2 linked regions of the Arabidopsis thaliana genome follow. The protein of the gene in region 2 interacts with the protein of the main gene of each other region in a pairwise test. Each region holds a gene or a part of one and is shown on either strand. Other genes may lie near its edges.

Evidence for each region.
Region 1: the proteins of EMB2296 (region 2) and AT1G63480 interact in a two-hybrid assay, tested with the Arabidopsis thaliana proteins (one large-scale study listed by BioGRID).

What each region holds. Positions count from the first base shown.
Region 1 is NC_003070.9:23,536,888-23,546,789, forward strand, and holds AT1G63480 (AT hook motif DNA-binding family protein), read right to left. Parts: upstream 5,347-9,902; 5' UTR 4,799-5,346; coding exon 4,354-4,798; intron 3,947-4,353; coding exon 3,879-3,946; intron 3,794-3,878; coding exon 3,662-3,793; intron 3,580-3,661; coding exon 3,421-3,579; intron 3,267-3,420; coding exon 2,985-3,266; 3' UTR 2,670-2,984; downstream 1-2,669. Other genes in the region: AT1G63470 (AT hook motif DNA-binding family protein), read right to left, coding at 1-225, 414-572, 660-791, 872-939, 1,481-1,976; AT1G63490 (transcription factor jumonji (jmjC) domain-containing protein), read right to left, coding at 8,051-8,210, 8,479-8,669, 8,755-8,850, 8,941-9,039, 9,173-9,229, 9,323-9,658, 9,751-9,902. UniProt on the Arabidopsis thaliana protein: Transcription factor that specifically binds AT-rich DNA sequences related to the nuclear matrix attachment regions (MARs).
Region 2 is NC_003071.7:7,832,491-7,841,118, reverse strand, and holds EMB2296 (Ribosomal protein L2 family), read right to left. Parts: upstream 4,053-8,628; 5' UTR 3,969-4,052; coding exon 3,529-3,968; intron 3,296-3,528; coding exon 2,959-3,295; 3' UTR 2,643-2,958; downstream 1-2,642. Other genes in the region: MSRA5 (Peptide methionine sulfoxide reductase family protein), read right to left, coding at 1-69, 155-267, 604-912; AT2G18025 (uncharacterized protein), read right to left, coding at 2,123-2,157, 2,234-2,303; AT2G18010 (SAUR-like auxin-responsive protein family), read right to left, coding at 6,879-7,217.

The sequences.
Region 1 (9,902 bases), on a different chromosome or scaffold from region 2:
GCCTGAGCCTGAGCCTGAAACGGGCCATCCGCTCATTCCCTGAGCTGGGAAGTTCTGTGGCGTATGCTGACCCGTCGATGCTGCAGCTTCTGGTGCACTACCAGGTGTGGTCTCCATTTCGCTATTGGTCGGCTCTTGCTTAGGTTTTATTTCTTGTTTGATGGTCTTGTTATTGTTATTATTAGACTTTGCACTTGCTCCGTACACGAAACTACAAGCCACCACCTTCAAAATAACAACCAACAAAAAAATTTAGTTTAAGAGTCACATTACATATAAACAAATCCAAACAAAATTTCTCAAACCGTACCAGAACCGTATTTTGAACTTTTGTATTCCAGGTAGCACAAATGTTATACCAAACAATTACAACCAAAACAAAACTTAATGGAGCCAAACCAATTTTGAAATACCTGAACGAGGCTGGCTGCGATAAGCATTCCAATTCCACCGCCGATAACATGACCTTCAGGACCAGAAAGAGAGACACTCAAACCGCCTGTTCGACTTTTGGATCCACCTTCTTCATTCACCAGATAAGATCCACCTAAACTTAGAATCTCAAAACGTCCCTAAAGAACACAAAGAAGGGATAAAGAATCTTTAGTTCTCCACGGTTTGGTTCTTTTTTGGATTAACTGAATGAACGATTTTGAAACCTCAAATGTTAAGGAAGGCGTTGTTGAAGCGGGTTCACGCAGAGTGACTGAAGAAACCGTTCCAGTGCCTGACATTATACAAAGAGCCCGAGGTCTTTTTTGTGAAAAAGACAAAACTTTCGAAACAATATCCTGCAAGAAAAATAAAAGGAAATTGAAACAATGAAAAGCTGCATAACTCATTAAGATTGATAGGAGTTTTTAGAGATTACTTCTCCTGATCCAACACTGATCACATGAGGTGCAAAAGCAAGTCCAGCTGATGTATTCATCCACTCACCTAAGGTAATTAACAGAGTTAAATGACCATTTACTTATCTCAACACAAATGGATCAGTCAAATTACTCTCATAGTTAATACCTAACAACCGATGTTGAGTAGCAGTAACAACAGAGCCAAATCAATACTAATTTGACCATAAAATCATTAAGCTTCTAGCAACCAAAATCTACCTAATCATAAGACCCCAGCTCGTGTTCTTCACAATGTACATAGAAGAAAGTTGTGCCAAAGCTTACAAATTGTGTCCATAAATCAAGAAGTCAAATATCGAGTTGACTACCACATTCTAATGACCAATTACTCATCTCAACTGGCATTGTACCCACACATGGATCAGTCAATTTAATACCTAACAATCAATGTTGAGTAACAGTAACAGTAAGGCTAAAGCAACAAAAACCTAAAATAACCATAGAATCATACATAGCTTCTACCATTCAAACTTTCATCTAATCATAAGATCCTTCAAGGGTTAGCCAACAGAGCTAAAACAACAACTTAACTTAATCAAGTACACAGAAAAAACTTGAGATCTCACCAAGATTAGCCAAGCGTTGCTTCCTTCCAGTTCCGGGAGGTCGACCTCTGGCTCTTTTAGGTGCATTAGGATCAGACATTGAAGAAGAGTCCTTAGACTTTTTACTAACACAAGGCATTGGAGAAAGCCCCAATGAAACTTGTCCATCAGGAACATACTTTCTTGGCCTTCCACGTTTCTTCTTAACCATCGGTTGCTCCGACGGTGGAGGCGGCAGCTGCAGAGTAGGCTGCACCGCAGCAGGAGAAGCCATCCCCATGTGAATGCTGTGTCCGAAATCAGAATGCCTGTGCTCAGCCATGGAGAAAGGAGGTCCTGGATTGCTAGCCTGAGGGTGGTGAATGTTAGGGTTTGACATTGGCCTCATTCCCGGAGGTGGCGGCGGCGCGTGAAGACCACTCGCGACCTGGGAAGGTGTAAGATTGGTAAAAACTCCTCTCTGAAGATAGAACTGAGAATGCGAGCCTGGAAATGCCATAGCTTCTCTCCCATCCATGCATTTAAAACCCTAAATTACAATTCTTTAAGAATCTAAGAGATTTTTTAAAAAAGGAAACTTTTTTGAAGAACAAATTTATCTACCACCCAGAAATCGTAAACCCTAATAACCCAAAGAGTGAAAAGAACAACAATGGCGGCTTTTATATACCCAGTAATCAAAGTCGGGTTATTTTCAGCTGTGAGCTTAAGATCCAAACTGTTTTTATGAAACCTAGAAAAGAAAAAGAAGCTAAATGTTGAGTTCACTTAGAACTCAAAAAGAAAGTAAAATTGCAGATTTGAAATGAAGACAACAAGCAAAAGTAGCTACTACTACTGTTACAGTCTCTCTGGTAGAGAAAGCAAATCTCAGAAAAAAAAAAGGAAAGAAAAAAAAAGAAGAGAAAGGAAGTGAAGACCATTGTTTCTATTTATATACTATTTCTTTAATTAATTTTGTCAAAAAAAAATATTCAATTGGTTTACAAAAAAAATAAATTGGGTTGTTTAAGAATTTTTTTTATTAAAAAGGATATAGACTTTCTTCAATGGTTTATAACAAAATCTAATGTCTCATTAGATTTCTGACTGAAAAAGAAATTTAAGTCAATTTGAGGATATATATTCATTAATATTTAATGCTTTTCATGTATAAATTATGAGCTTGTCATCTTCCTATAAATTAAGGATCCTAAATCTTGTGTGTGTTGAATTACACATTGTCTACCAAATAAGAGGAATCAAGTTTACTAAATATGTTAAAGAACCTGAAAGAAAAATAGTGAACTAGTAAAGAAACCAAGTTCTTGATGACCACAATGAGATCATAAAAGAGTTAAAAAAATCTCCTAAAATAGCATGAAAGTGGGAGGGTTCTGTTACATTAACAATGTTAGAAGGAGCTGAGAGATCTAGTATCAATCCTTAAATGTCTGATTTCAACATTCCCAGAGAGAAATCTACAATAACATATGTACAGCAATCACATTTTGTATGCTGCTGCTTCAAAGACTAATAGTGTATATCATCCACGAGTCAAATCAAAATCAGTGAGTGGGTTTCTGCAAATGTCAAGTGATCTGCCAGAGCCTGAGCCTGAACCGGGCCACCCCCTTATTCCCTGAGAAGAGAAGTTCTGTGGCGTCTGCTGACCCGCAGATGCTGCTGGTTCAGCTGCACTACCCGGTGTGGTCTCCATTTCACTATTGTTGTCCTCTTCATTTGGTTCCTTTTCTTGTCTGATGGTCTTGTTATTGTTATTATGAGTCTTTGCCCTTGCTCCGTATACAAAACTACATGCCACCACCTGAATAACAAACAAGTTTTTCAAACACTACCACATGATATCTTGAAGAGGAAAGAAAGTGACAGCACAAACATATCAAAGGCTAACATTCGTAGTTAGTTTCGCCTCGTTTTAGCTTCACTTTACAACCATTAAGAAGAAGAATTTAATATACCTGAACAAGGTTGGCTGCGATAAGCATGTCAACTCCACCGGCAATAATACTACCATCGGGACGAGAAAGAGAGACACTCAATCCGCCTGTTCGACTTCTGGATCCACCTTCTTCATTCACCAAATAAGATCCACCAAAACTTATAATCTCAAAAGGTCCCTAAGAAACACAGAAAGAGGATTAAATAAGAAATCTTTTCAGGTTTTTCTTTTTCGATTAACTGAATGAACGACTTTGAAACCTCGTATGTTAAGTGACGATCGGTTGAACCGGGTTTGCACAGAGTGACTGAAGAAATGGTTCCAGTGCCTGACATTATACAAAGAGCCCGAGGTCTTTGTTGTGAAAATGACAAAACTTTCGCAGCAATGTCCTGCAAAGAAAAATAAAAGGAAATTGATACAATGAAAAGCTGCATAAATGATCATTAATATATAAAGGAGTTTTGGTCAGTTTACTTCTCCTGCTCCAATGCTGATCACATGAGGTGCAAAAGCAAGTCCAGCTGAAGTATTCATCCACTCACCTAAAGAAATTATCAGAGTCAAGAGTTTGCTATTACTTAAAGTTTGATTAATCACATTATGATGACCAATTACTTAAACATGAATGGATTAGTAAGATTACTCTTTCACAGCTTAAAAACCTAAATCAATAACTTAAATCAAGAAGTCGATTTCGTCCACATCTACTAATAACCAATTACTCCTCTCACCTAGCATTGTACCACACATAGATCCGTCAAACTAATAGCCAACAATCAATATTGAGTATCAGTAACGACAAAGTAACAAAACCTAACTTAACTATAGAATCATTCAAAGCTTCTAGCATCCATAAGATTCAAGCTCATGTCCTTCAAGACTAGCTAACAGAGCTAAAGCAAAAACTTAACTTGACAAAGTACACAGAATAGAAAACTCGAGATCTCACCAAGATTAGCCAAGCGTTGCTTCCTTCCAGTTCCAGGAGGTCGACCTCTGGCCCGTTTAGGTTCATTAGGATCAGACATTGGAGAAGAGTCCCTAGACTTATTACTAACCATCGGTTCTCCATACTTTCTTGGCCGTCCACGTTTCCTCTTAACCATCGGTTCCTCTGGTGGTGGCGGTGGCGGTGGCGGTTGCACATCAGCATCAGAAGCAGAGGAGACCACTCCCATGTGAATGGTGTGTCCAAAATCCGAGAAAGGAGGTCCTGGATTGTTAGCCTGAGGGTGATGAATGTTAGGGTTAGACATTGGCCTCAATCCCGTATGTGGCGGCGGCGCGTGAAGCCCACTCGCGACTTGGGAAGGTGCGAGATTAGTAAAGGCTCCTCTTTGAAGATAGTACTGAGAATGCGAGCCTGGAAATGCCATTGCTTCTCTTCCGTCCATGCATTAAAAACTCCAAAATTACAAGTCTTTAACAGAAATAAGAGATTTTTAAATTGATTAACAAAAAAAGGAAACAAATTTATCTAATCTAATACCCAGAAATCATAAACCCTAATTCCCAAAAGTAGTAAAGAGAACAACAATGGCGGTTTTAAAATTACCCAGTAATCAAAGTCGGGTTATTTATACTGTGAGCTCAAAATCCAATTTGTTCTTATGAACCCTAAAAAAAAAAAGCTAAAATCTGAGTTCACTTATAGAACTCGAAAAAGTACGATTGCAGATTTGAAATTAAGAAAACAGAGGAAAGTAGCTTCTCCTACTGTTACAGTCTTGCAGAGAAAAAAATCAAATCTCCCCCTAAGAGAAAAGCTAGATTTGATTGAGAGAAATCTAGGGTTTCTGAGAAGGAGAACACAATGTATATCAGAGGAGAGACAAAGGAAGAAGACAGATGAGACAATTCAGGGAGAAGAAGAGAAAAAGAGAGAGAGAGAGAGAGAGAGAGAGAGAGAGAGAGAGAGAGAGAGAGAGAGAGAGAGAGAGAGAGAGAGACTAACAGTTTAATGATTCTGATTTATACTTTTAATATTGTGAACTTTTGAATTGAGAGAGGTCTTTCTCTGAAAGTTAGAAGAAAACTAAAGAAGCTGAACGAGAGTGACGACCATTGTTTTTCGTATTTATATATCTCTTTAATTGATTTGTTATTTAATTTTGTGAAAGATAAATTCAATTGAGAGAAAGATTATTATGAAAGATTTAAGCATAGTTTGTTTAAGAATATTTGTTTAAGAATATTTAATGTATTAGTTTGTTTAAGAATATTTAATGTATTAGTTTGTTTAAGAATAGTTTATTTAAAGTATTAGTTTGTTTAAGAATATTTGTTTTTAATAAAAAGGATAGACTTTCTTTGATGATTATTACAAATCTAATATCTCGTTAGATCTTTGACTGAAACCGAAATTTATTAGTCATTGAGAGACAATTATGTGCTTTATTCTCATAAACATTGCTACCAATAAAGATTTAAAAAAAAAATCTTTTCTAACATATTCTAAAGAAAACAGTTGACATTTTAGATTATTATATCATGTAATATATTATTTCTTCTGTGACACACTTTTTCCGTTTTTATATGGAATCATGTTTAGTGGGTAAAATATGTATGCAAAATTTGAAGATAAATTCAATATATATATATGAAAAGTATAATAATGTTTCTAAAGAAACTAAAAAAATAAAGTGAAAATAAAAAGAGAAAAATGTACAAACCTTTTAAAATAATCAAAAATATATTATTCTTGCTAGAAAAAAGAAAAAACTACAACATGATTATTTCAATTTTGGAGCTATTTTAGTGGCTTTACAAACTTTCTACACCTCAACTAATCATGTCTATATATCTTCAATAGTTATCTGTAATTTTTTTTGGTCAACTGCTCTATAATATATTTATAATTTATTTTTAATTAGTATAGATAATTATAAGATTATTTCAAAATATATCTAAAAATTTTAGGTTTTCTTATAAATATATAATCTTGAAATTTCATTCAGTTACACTTTGACAAGAGGCAAGACTAGTATGAAATGACTTCATATCATCTTAATTCAAATTAAGATTTTAAAAGAACAAAAAAAATCAAATCTTGTTGTAAAAAGTTTGATCTTGATTAGAAATATCCAAATATGAGAGAGATGTGTTGTTGACTAAAGGATAGGAAAGAGAATGGGGACACACTTGAATCTCTTCTCTCTCACATGTCTAACTCACTTTGCTATTTCTTTCTTTGCTTCGGACAGTGAGCCCTCTCTCCTAACTTTATTTGTTTTCCATTTTTATATTCCCCTTTTTCTCTTTTACTTTTTATCTAAAATTCTTTTTTTTTATTTTCTTTTAAAAGTTTTGAAAGTGATTTATTAATATATATATATATATATATACGTACATATATTTTGTTTCCACCTAATTTGAAAGTTTGTATGATGCATTTAATATCCGGTGGCTAAAGTACCCGACCAAAAAATCCAAATAGTCAAAATTTGGTGCTAGATATAAATAAAAGTTTTCTAGAGATATATCATATATTATATATTTTGGGTTTAATTAGATTTGTTTTGCTACTCCATTATGAATAATCTTTACATTAATTTGTTTTGTTTAATGTCAACAATATTACATTTGCACACATTTGACTTTTGACAATAAAATAAAGAGTTTTGACTTTCCTTCTTTCACTTTTTGTTTTGCCAACTTTTTACCTAAAGTAATGTGACTTGTCTTTTTTTACTTAGAAATTTCATGATAGGAAAAATTTGAGGCCGACCATTACTGAACTTATACAATATTTTACTTGTTCTTCTTACATAAATAGCTATAAACATACACAAATCAGTCCATTTCATCTACATGTAACATTAATAACTTTAATAAATAAACAAGATATGGACAGTGTGAAATTCACAATAAATGTACTAGATAGATTTTCAAAAATGGAAGAAGAGTGTTGAAGGAAGCTTTCAGCTTGAGGATGGTGTCTCAAAAGGTACAATAAGGCTCTGTTTCTATGAAAGTCCCTTACTTATTACTTCACAACACATATACACACATTATGATACATACATATATAGAGAGATATGATTGTGGGTCTCTGAAACATGATGTCATCAAAAGTGGGTCTCTTTCTGATTCTTGTAAGGAAAGTGATCTCAACTGTTGCTTTTTTATTTTCCTTCTCATGAATTTGTGGGGATTAAGAGATATGATTCTCTTCACACATTGGTGGTCCAACAATAGTTCAAAATTCTAATAGCTGCTGGTAGTTTGATTTTGGTAGAGTTTGTTGAGTTTAAAAAGTGAGAGATATCAACAAATACATACTATAAATCTATAATTGAATAAGAATACAAATTTCAATGGTAAATGTGTTAAACTTGAATAAAACATCAAAGAATGAAACAAGCTTTAAATCTAAGATCTAAGCTAATATCTCCTCTATACATAGTTGTGATTAGAATTTCTTATATTACATAATCATCAAATTCTAGTTATAGATCCACTGATCCAGTTCAAAAAAAAAAAAGATCCAAAAATCTGGCAAATTATTAAGTCCAAAACCTTTTTAATGTGAACTTGTCCATTTTCCAATGGGAAACATTACAAAAAGGTTTGAGAAAACTCATCTAAAATTGAATAAATGAAATTGCTCTATATATCATACCCTCAAGAGATTATTATGTTGGTTTTTAAGTGAAAAACCAGGGAAGAATATGAACCTGAGGACTCCGTTTAGTTGTCCGTTTGATGTGTTTTCGGGTTTTCCACTTTAAGTCATTAACTGCTGCATCAGTCGCGACCATTCTTGTCCGTCTTTGGTTCAGAGACGGTCTCTCTGGCTCTGTTGCTCTGTTAATAGATATCAATCAAACAAATGGGTTCAGAAAAATGGGAGGAAGTGTAGAGTATCTTAACGAATCTGTAAACATTCTCGGTTCAAGCCACTAAGCCTAACAGAAACCACACAATCAGTAGCTTTTGATTGTGACCTAAACTAATGAGTGAAGCAAAAGTATAGAGGTTTCAAGAAAGTATGCTTTTAAAAATCTAAGATCGATGTGAATACAAGTGTGTAGCAATGTGGTTTAGAGTAAGCTTTTATTGCAAAGGAACAAACCTGGCGGGATCGATCTGTGGAGTGGTTTCTGCCAGTGGACAGCAAGCGGAGCAGACATAAGCCTTAGGCCGCCAATGAAGCTTTAAACAATAGGTGTGATACCATTCGCCACATTGACTACAAGAAACCATGGATCTTGAGTTGTATGGCTTTAGACAAATGCAGTGTAACATACTCCGAGCTCGTAAAGACTGCATCAATTTACCATGATACAAACAGTTTTAGATAACAGTAAGGTTATGTGTTAAGCTTTGCTAACATTCATTTCATATTAACCTGAAGTTCCTGCTCTGCATGAACAGGTAAGTTTTCACCCTCAGAAATAAGCTCGAAAACATCTTCCAAGGCAAGAGCACCTGAGTCTGTTACCACCTGCAGATAAAACCAATAGCTCTCGTTTTCATTAAACATTCCATAGAGACTTTACGCGATCAACTGAGAAAACGTGTGTTGGTTATGTACCTTTCTAGCTCGTTTTGCCCACTCCAGTCCAGTGTCTTTTAACTCCATGAGTCTCTTGCCTAAGTAATACTCTTCAGGTAATATTTCAAGTGTTTGTCCCTGTCAATAAGAATGACGAAACTCACAAACCAGATCACTGTGGTTTCCTTGAAAATCCAAAGAGAAGGATAATGCTTAAAGATCCAAAGACATCTTAGTCTGTGTAGGAAGTTAATATATTATCCGAACATACCTCTTTTAAGTGCTGCTGAATATGCTGTAACGAGGGCTTTCCAACATCTTCTAGCAACTGCCATTTAAAGACGCACTTAAAACAATTAAACGGGGTACATAACCACACTGAGTGTCACGAACCAATTAAAATTCAGAAATCTATTTGTACCTCAGAGGTAGGTGAGCTAGAGCTTAACGTGATGGTCTTACAACACCATCCTAGTTTTAGACTTGCAGTTCGAAGTTTGGGAAGTTCATCGAAATTGAGACCAAGGGCCAGACCAGATCTCCTAGCGGAGTCCACTCTGGTTATCAAATCCATTATCTTCGGAAGGATATTGCTATGCGTGCCATCATCTATTTTCGCATTGTCCAACAAATCTTCAGTTTCTTGCAAGAGCTGATGATTATCACACTGCCACCTCTCGCAGTTAAGCAACAATGTTTCAAGAATTCGTGGCTCTTGAAGCTGAACATTGAGCAATTTAGCCTGAGTAACTAGATCCTGCAAAAAATTAAAGCATTAAATTCTCCAAAAATCAAATCAGTTACAAAAACATAAACAGAAACCAAAGTAGGCACAGGAGGCAGACAAACCTTTAATACAGGAAGTTCAAGCATAGAACATGGAGATGATGCCATAGAGGAAGTGGCTGATAGAAAAGGCTCAGATTTCTGAAGCCAAGTTTCAGCCGACGAGATTGTGTTCTCTATGCCTTGCAGAGTAGGTAAAACCGCATCAATGTTGA
Region 2 (8,628 bases):
AGTTGCTCCCTTTCTTTGCTGGTAGAAGCCAGTCTCAATTCTTCTGTAGAATTAGTGAAAATACAGGATCTGTTCAAAAAGATTCCCATGTTTTAGATTTGGTCCAAACAAACAAACTCAAAGATAAGCATCAGCTATTTACTTGCTCTTTTACCTGTATTGATTACCCACATCAGGACCTTGTCCAAACACTTGTCTAGAATCATGACTAGACCAAAATACATCTAAGAGCTGACGATAACCAATTATCCTTGGATCATATTCAACCTGAAGACAATTACAGAGCAAGAGCAACACAAATCTTTAAGCTCCTCAAACACTAAGTCAGATGAACAAAGACAATTTAGTTTAACTTCAATCAGACAATCACATATACACTAAGATCACACATAACCAAATTTCAACAAAACAACCTAATCAGCTAATGAATGATGATATTCACATAAAGCATTCTCCAATTTTATTATCCAAACGAAATCTGTTAAGTAGAGCAAATCAAATCGAACAACATAGGCACTGATCAAATCAAATCATATCAGCTAAACATCGAATAAACGAAGTAAACATTGGCTCAATCCTCAAAATTGAAACAATAAAACCAACCTGTACGGACTCGGCGTGATCACCTAAGTTCCTATACTCCGGATTCGTCTTCGTTCCACCGGCGTAACCGGCGGAGGTTCGTACGACGCCATTGATACAACCAAACGCCGCCTCCGATCTCCAGAAGCTTCCAAGAGCGAAAACCGCAGATTTCAAAGGACGATCGGGAGAATCAACGACAGTATCCGAGATCTGATTCGAAATCCTGATGGATACAGTTTTATCGAGCAGAGAGACACACAAGAAGAAGAAGAAGACGAGATTCGTATAAGGAATGAAGAAACGGTTCCTCTTCAGTGATATAGCCATTACACAGTTTTCGTCTAGCTGCTGTTTCGAACCAGGGAACGAAACTCCATATGAACGAACAACCTGTAGTCGATTGAGTCGAGTCGCTCAAAAAGTCACGCCATGGCTCCACCTCCATTAAACTCTGTCTTTGAGAGTTGAGACCCTCTGATTCATTTAGAGGGTTCGCTGCATGATTATTGAAAAAGAAGTGATTTAGATTACTTTATTTCGGCTAACAATTAAGGCATGATTCCTTTTGGTAGGAGCGAGGTACCAATATCGCGACTCGAACCGTGGTGAGACTCTCTCATCATGCTGAGTCTCAACCGCTTTTACCAGTTAGCAATTGGTGACCATATTTCTACTTAGTTGATACTTAAAGACGTTTTAAACATATAACCAAATACTCGGTTTGATACGGTTCGTTTAAATATTAAAATTATTCGGTCGAGAACAATAATCAAAACTTGCGATGATAACTTTTTACAATTTGCAATAATACTTTAAACTTTTCGAGAGAGAAGACAAAGATTATCATAAAAATGTTTACAATTTGAGAACAAGGTCCAAACGGATATATATACATATAAAAGAGAAGCAAATGTTTTTTTTTAATTTATTTATTGTTTAACAACCCTAGTGGCGGCTGAAGCAGCAGCTTGACCTCTCCTCCTAGCAGCAATAAGACCTTCTGTCCGAACCTACGCACCTCTGCGACTGAGAGTTTGTGACATATGTGGTGATGGAAGAGAAAATTTGACATGAGGGATAAGCACGGTTCTGTTCTTATGCTTACCAACCCAGGGAAACTAATTTGAAGTCAAGGAGAGAAATAGATAAGTTGAGTGATCTGAGGCAAGAGCCGTCTTGTGTTATTGATGATATGTTGTTTTCTGTTAATCTTCATGACTCAAGAGAGTATTATCCAATAATGGTGTATGTATGATCCAATTATCCAAAGGAGGCGCATTGAAAACCCTTGTGGGTTTTTCAAGGTTTTCCGGCTAACGTGCTTCCCAAGGTGTCTAAAATGGTGAATTTTGTTGGATTTTGAGCCTTTGATCAAACTTGCAATAAGTGTGATGAAGATGAGAACCAAAGCAACAGAAGAAAAGAGAAGAAGCGTCGGAGATGAGACTCGTGAAGAGAGGAGTCAACGACAAGAGAGAAGTCACGATACTGCTTCTTGTATTAAGTTGCTCCCTTTCTTTGCTGGTAGAAGCCAGTCTCAACTCTTCTGTACAGTTAGTGAAAATACAGGATCTGTTCAACATATATTCAAATGTTATAGATTTGGGCCAAACAAACAAACTCAAAGATAACCAAACAGCTCTTTTACCTGTATTGGTTACCCACATCAGGACCTTGTCCAAACACTTGTCTAGAATCATGACTAGAGCAGAATACATCTAAGAGCCGACGATAACCAATTATCCTTGGACCATATTCAACCTGGAAGACAATTATAGAGCAAGAGCAACACAAATCTAGCTATTGGATCAGATACTAAAACCAATTCCTCAAAGTCTCAAACGCTAAAAATTGATGGACAAAGACAATTTAGGTAAATCTCAATCACATAAACACAAATATTACACATTACCAAAACTCAGCTAATCAACTATAGAATCAGACTTGTATTACGCACATAAATGTCTTTGAGTCCTCTGTGTCATTTTGAAGGTTTGCTGCAAGATTCGTTTTTAAGATTCCTTGTAATTTTTTTTTAGGTACTTCAGATTGCTTCAATTCGACTAACACCAAAGACTTGATTCTTTGTGATAGCAATGCGGCGGGCTGCTGTTTCGATGAAAATCTGCAATTCAACTACCACTTTAACGATCACGAGAATTGGTTACGTTGTTCTTACATAATTTTCATATGTACAAAATGAAAACTTTGCGTATTGAGAGTATGCAATGTGAATAACATAAGCTTTTCGAGAAGAGAGAAAGGTTTATCATAAAAATCTTTTAGGATTTCAGAATGAGGTTCAAAAGGAAACACAGACAACAAAACTTGAAACATAGAAAACAAGAGAAACAAAGTTTATCTCTTTTAACTCTAGTCTGCCTTGGCAGCTGAAGCAGCAGCTTGACCTCTGAGACGACCAGTCCTCCTTGCAGCAATAAGACCAACCTTCTGTCCAGGAGGTGCATCACGCCTAACAGTACTGGCGTGACCAATGTGCTGATGGTTACCTCCTCCATGAGGATGCTCCACTGGATTCATAGCCACACCACGAACCTTAGGCCATGAGTTCCTCTTCACACGGTACTTGTGGTACGCGTTTCCTGCCTTGAGCATCGGCTTCTCAGTTCTTCCACCTCCAGCAACTTGTCCAATCATAGCCCTGCATCCACTTGGGACAATCTTCTTCGAACCCGATGGCAACTTAATCCTGCGCAAACATATACTCAAATCATCATTCACAAGACTACAACAACTATACCACAAGCATTTCTAATTAACGAAATGATTCCATTAACATCATCATAAACTACACTAAATAACCAATGATACATAAGCATTTTCTAATTAATCTGATTAAGATCATCATAATCTACAACAAACAATCAACAGATCTGAAAATGTTTATAAGCCTCAGAAGATTTTTGGATAAGAGAAACAAACCTAGTAGTGTCGCTGTCAGGGTTGTGAGCGATAACAATGGCGTAATCACCAGAAGCTCTAGCGAGGACACCACGATCACCGACGTGATGCTCGACGTTGCAGACAACAGCTCCTTCAGGAATAGATCTAAGAGGGAGAACATTTCCAACGACGAGAGTAGCTTTCTTACCGCAGTACAAGAACTGACCGGTGTACATACCTTCGGCGGCGACGAAGAGCTCCTTTTGTTTCTTGAAACGGAAAGGATGACGGAAAGTGACACGAGCAAGAGGAGCACCACGACCAGGATCGTGGATGATCTCCGTCACGACGCCCTTGAGGTAACCATTTCTCTCGCCGAAATCGAGGCTACGGAACTTAGCCGGACCTTTGCGGTGGTGAGTGTGGGATTTGAAGACGGAACCCGCACCCTTACGTTGAGCTCTGATGACACGACCCATGGATGCTCTCGACGGCGAAGTTCAGATATTAGGGTTTTGAGATCCAACTTGAGAGTGAGGAAAATGAACCCTTTTTATTCTGCAACCTCATGTTTGTTCTAACCCTAATGGGCCTAAGTGGATCTTTATTTGATATGGGTCAGAAGAATCTAAATGGTGTAGTAATTGTTCAAACCCATACAAAAGACCGAGTTAAGAATCACAAAGGCAGGCCTACCAAACTAGACTAATCCGGATGCTAACCAAATCATATTAGAATTTTTCTTAGAAAAACCAAGTTAAAAAGCCCAACCCAGATTTATCCGGATGCTAACCGAATCAATATCAGAATAAATCATATGAATATAATTACACGATACCAGAATAACTAAATAATTGTTAAGAGAAAAATAATAAAATGAATGAAATATATGAATAATAGATATATATGATTGAAAATTTAGTTTTAGTAGATTCATCAAGTTTTTTTTTTTATCATATTTTTAACACGTTATATTACCGAATATTTTTGCTGAAAATCTGTCGAAAAGTTGCTTAGTATTCTAACGGATTTTTGACAAGTCACAACGAAATATTTTGGTTGGAAAGCCGTCAAAAATATTTCATCAGATTTAGTTTAGTCAGAATATCGTTGGAAATTATTGACGAATTTTTGATCATTGGAATCCGTCGAAAATTTCGATGATTTTTCAACGAAAAATTTATCGTCAAAAAATAATTAAAAAAAAAAAAAAAGTCAAATATATCCGACCTTTTATTTATCATCAGAAATTTCGTCGAAAAAAGTTTTATTTACTTATAGTTATATATACAGTATAATCACTTTTCAAGAACGTAAATTCTTAATAAATACTTTGAATCGTAAAAAGTAGCAAAATCATGTTTTTCAAACGTTAAAACGTGAACAAGTGGTATATTATTCATAATACTTAAAAAAAATGCGTCTCATGATAGTCTGAGTCATATGATAAATATATAGATTGATATATAAAATGATGATAATGCAATTCTAATTTTGGTGATGGTATATCACTAGCATCTAATAATCAATAATGTCAACACAAGAACATATTTAATGCAAAAACCCTCTCCAAAATAACAATAAACAATTCTTTGGAGAACACATAATATGGGCAAGCTAGCTTCTGAGCAGACAAATACGGGCAAGCCCAAATTGGATGTTACTAATACTAACCCACGGTTTGTACTTTGTCCAATCCAGATTCCGATTTCAGGTTAACCCGGCGAAAACCGAATCAAATTAGAAAACTCATAATATTTTCTTAAAAGTTAAAACTGATTTGAACTTTAGAATAAGTTAATATCAAGCTGATTATAGATTTTTGAGATACATATGATAAAGGTATATGTTCTATAATATGATGATGATGTATGAAACTGGAAATAATTATTAAGCAACTCGAGTTCGTCGTCGATGATATATCCACTAGCATCTATGATGTCAACAATAACATATTTAATGCAAAAACCCTCAGAAGAAACAATAAAAAATTGTTAGAAGAACACACAATATGGGCAAGCTAGCTTCTGAGCAGACAATGCATTTTTTAAATTGTTATTACATATAAATTGTCTCGTGAATACGGTATGGCAATTTAAATCCAGATATATGATAGTAATGTGCCTTGAATAAAGTCTATGAACATTTCATAAAATACAAAAGTTAGAGATGAAAAAAAGTGCGAGACTAGCTCATCAAAAAGAGGAGAGACTCATCAAGTAGACTGGTATTAAGGAATGAAGAACATTAATGTTAAGTGACATATTTTGCAAATGATACCAATCTACTTTGTTAGGACATGATGGTTTAGCGGTCTATGTACCATCTTGTCAAATACACATGTATTTCTTCTTTTACGAGAAACATAATGGGACATCAAATTAGTTCATCTATATTACGGAAGATCTCTTCAATTTTTTTTGTAGCTTAGGTAACAACTATAAATTCGCACAGATACAAGTATATGTAGGGACTCTGGTTGGTAGGACCATAATGATCCATCACAAAAATCTGACTCAATATAATTGATATATACACATAAAATCTTTTGAAATACTACTTGCTACGTCTACATGTAAAAGGAAATGAGTCAAATTACGGTGATTGACACACCGACAAATAAATATTGAATACACGTATAGCAAAACTTTTGTGTTGAAAGAAAACAAAACAAATTGTTTTATGACTCGAGTGTTTTATGATTAATCTCGTAACCTGTATCTTAGTAAAAGAGAAAGTATTACTTTTATAAAGATGCTAAGTAATATTTCTATCATTACTTTTGTCAAATGATGGACACCGTGATACTTTGTCATACGAAACTATGTCTTTGTAATTCTAAATTTTTCGAAGAAATAGAAAGCTGTTTACACATGATTAGTTAGTCTTAGTCACAAATTAGGTTAAGAACGTGAGTTATGAATTGTTGGACCATTCATGTACTAATTTTTTTTATAAAACAACATTATATATTACGCGGATTTTAACTCGAACGATGATAACACATAAACATCGTTAGCACAAACCACCAAAACTATTGAGGATTCTTGATTGATCTTAACCAATAAAGTTTTAGAAGTTAACTAGCTAATCCTCTCAAGATCATCGATCAACATTTTACGTTGACTTGAGGGAAAAAGTCTCCCACCCCACCCCAACTACAACAAAATATTTAAAAGAGAAAATGACTAATAAATTTAGCAAAGAAAAAAACCACAAACGGGTTAATGCCTACGAAGCTTTTTAGCCATGTTCTTGCATCTTAATCAGACAACCCTAAAAAATGAGTTTGTTTCTTGTTTTTGGATTTACTGATCTCGGCTTCAAATTTTCTTTCCAATAAAGAAATCTTTTCTTCAAGAATAATAATCTGTCTCCGATATCGGGCTTTATCTAAACATGGAGATAAGAGACCTGAAGAAGACTTCATCACAAGGAATGGTTAGACCCATATCATGGTCAAACCCAAATTCTTCCTCAGCTAGTCGGAGCAATGTTTGGAACTCGGAGTGATGGAGCCATGAGATAGGAACGATGTACCGACTTCGGTTCGGTCCCACGTAAACCGGAAAATGACCTTTTGGCACGTCTTGAGGAAGATCATCTTCTTGGTTATAGTAACAACCATTTACGTTCTTCATCTTTCTTAGACTCGAGCATCTCTTTACTATTTGCTTGATAGATGCTGCTTGAGACGACGTCGCTTTGCTCGATCTCTTTATTGCCATTGTTCTTTTTTTTTCTTTTGTGGAATTAGTTTTTGCTTGAAGAATGTTATATGGAGGTAAGAGGTACAATGGAGAAGTATTTATATGGACAGTTTGGAAGGCTAATAAATTAATAGAGAAATAATCATTAATGCAGTATATCACTATACTTTTAAAATTGGGGGCTATAGTTTTTTTTTCTTCATCAAATTGGGTAGTATAGTTCGTTGATTATAATTAAATAGGTTTGGCTACTTATGACGTTGACCAAATAGTGGCAATATTTTATGAATGTTATAACATTTAAATTTGCATGTATAATATATATATATATATATATGTCACTATTTTATGAATGTTATAACATTTAAATTTGCATGTATATATATAAGGACAAAACATCAAATTATGCTGACAAACAAAGATCAAACGGTAAAATTAAAATTACATAATACCATTCCGTTTAGGGCAAGTGATTTAATTAACTATTAATTTAATGAATGATAAATTAACAACACTAACTCTTACAATTTGGTTACTTTGTAATTTCTTATCATAATTAGGTTGATTAATTATGACGTTGACAAAATTATTCATTAGATAATATGTATATAGTCTTGTACACCAAATCAACGACTAACCATTAGAAACACATGGAGTGATTTTGCATTGGGATAAACAATGAAAACACACGTAGACACGTATGTTTATATAGGGGAAAAAATTGTATACTAGTTTGTGGCAAAGCATGTACACGGATTCGAGTTCTAGTTTCTCTACGCCTTCCAATTAAAGATGGAGGATACAATGTTTCGAATAGACTAAAGTCCAATGAAACTGAACTTTCTAACTAATCATATATCTAGAAAATTTATCAATGATTTGTATATACCAACATCATATATATGTAGAAAAACTAAAACCAATCAAATTTCATGTTTTGATTCATTAGGACACCTAGATTCTTTGTTCTTGTGAAAGCAAAATCATGTGGCATGTAGGAGGCAAGGGCAAATAAACAATGAGGACAGAGCCAACAAGGACAAGAGAGAGATGCAATTAAAACTGTGAAAGAATGTATACAAAACAAATTTTGGTAGGGATTATAACGTTGCCCTACAATGTCTCCCTTTTGCCTTTACATACTTAGACAATTTTACAAAATAAATGTCCATTTTTTCTTCTCTTACCTTTAATATCATATAAATTAGACCATGGCCCGTTAGATACATATATGTATGTACATAGATTACGGACGAAGTAAAAGAGATTTGTAAGTTGTAACAAAAGTACGTACTTGAGGAGATACATACATAAGGAGGACTCGACAAAAAACAGATATCGCAAAACCATTGTGTTTATTTTGCATATACGGACACGTGTATTTTGTTACCATATTTGGACATTATTGAAACATACATAAATGCCCACT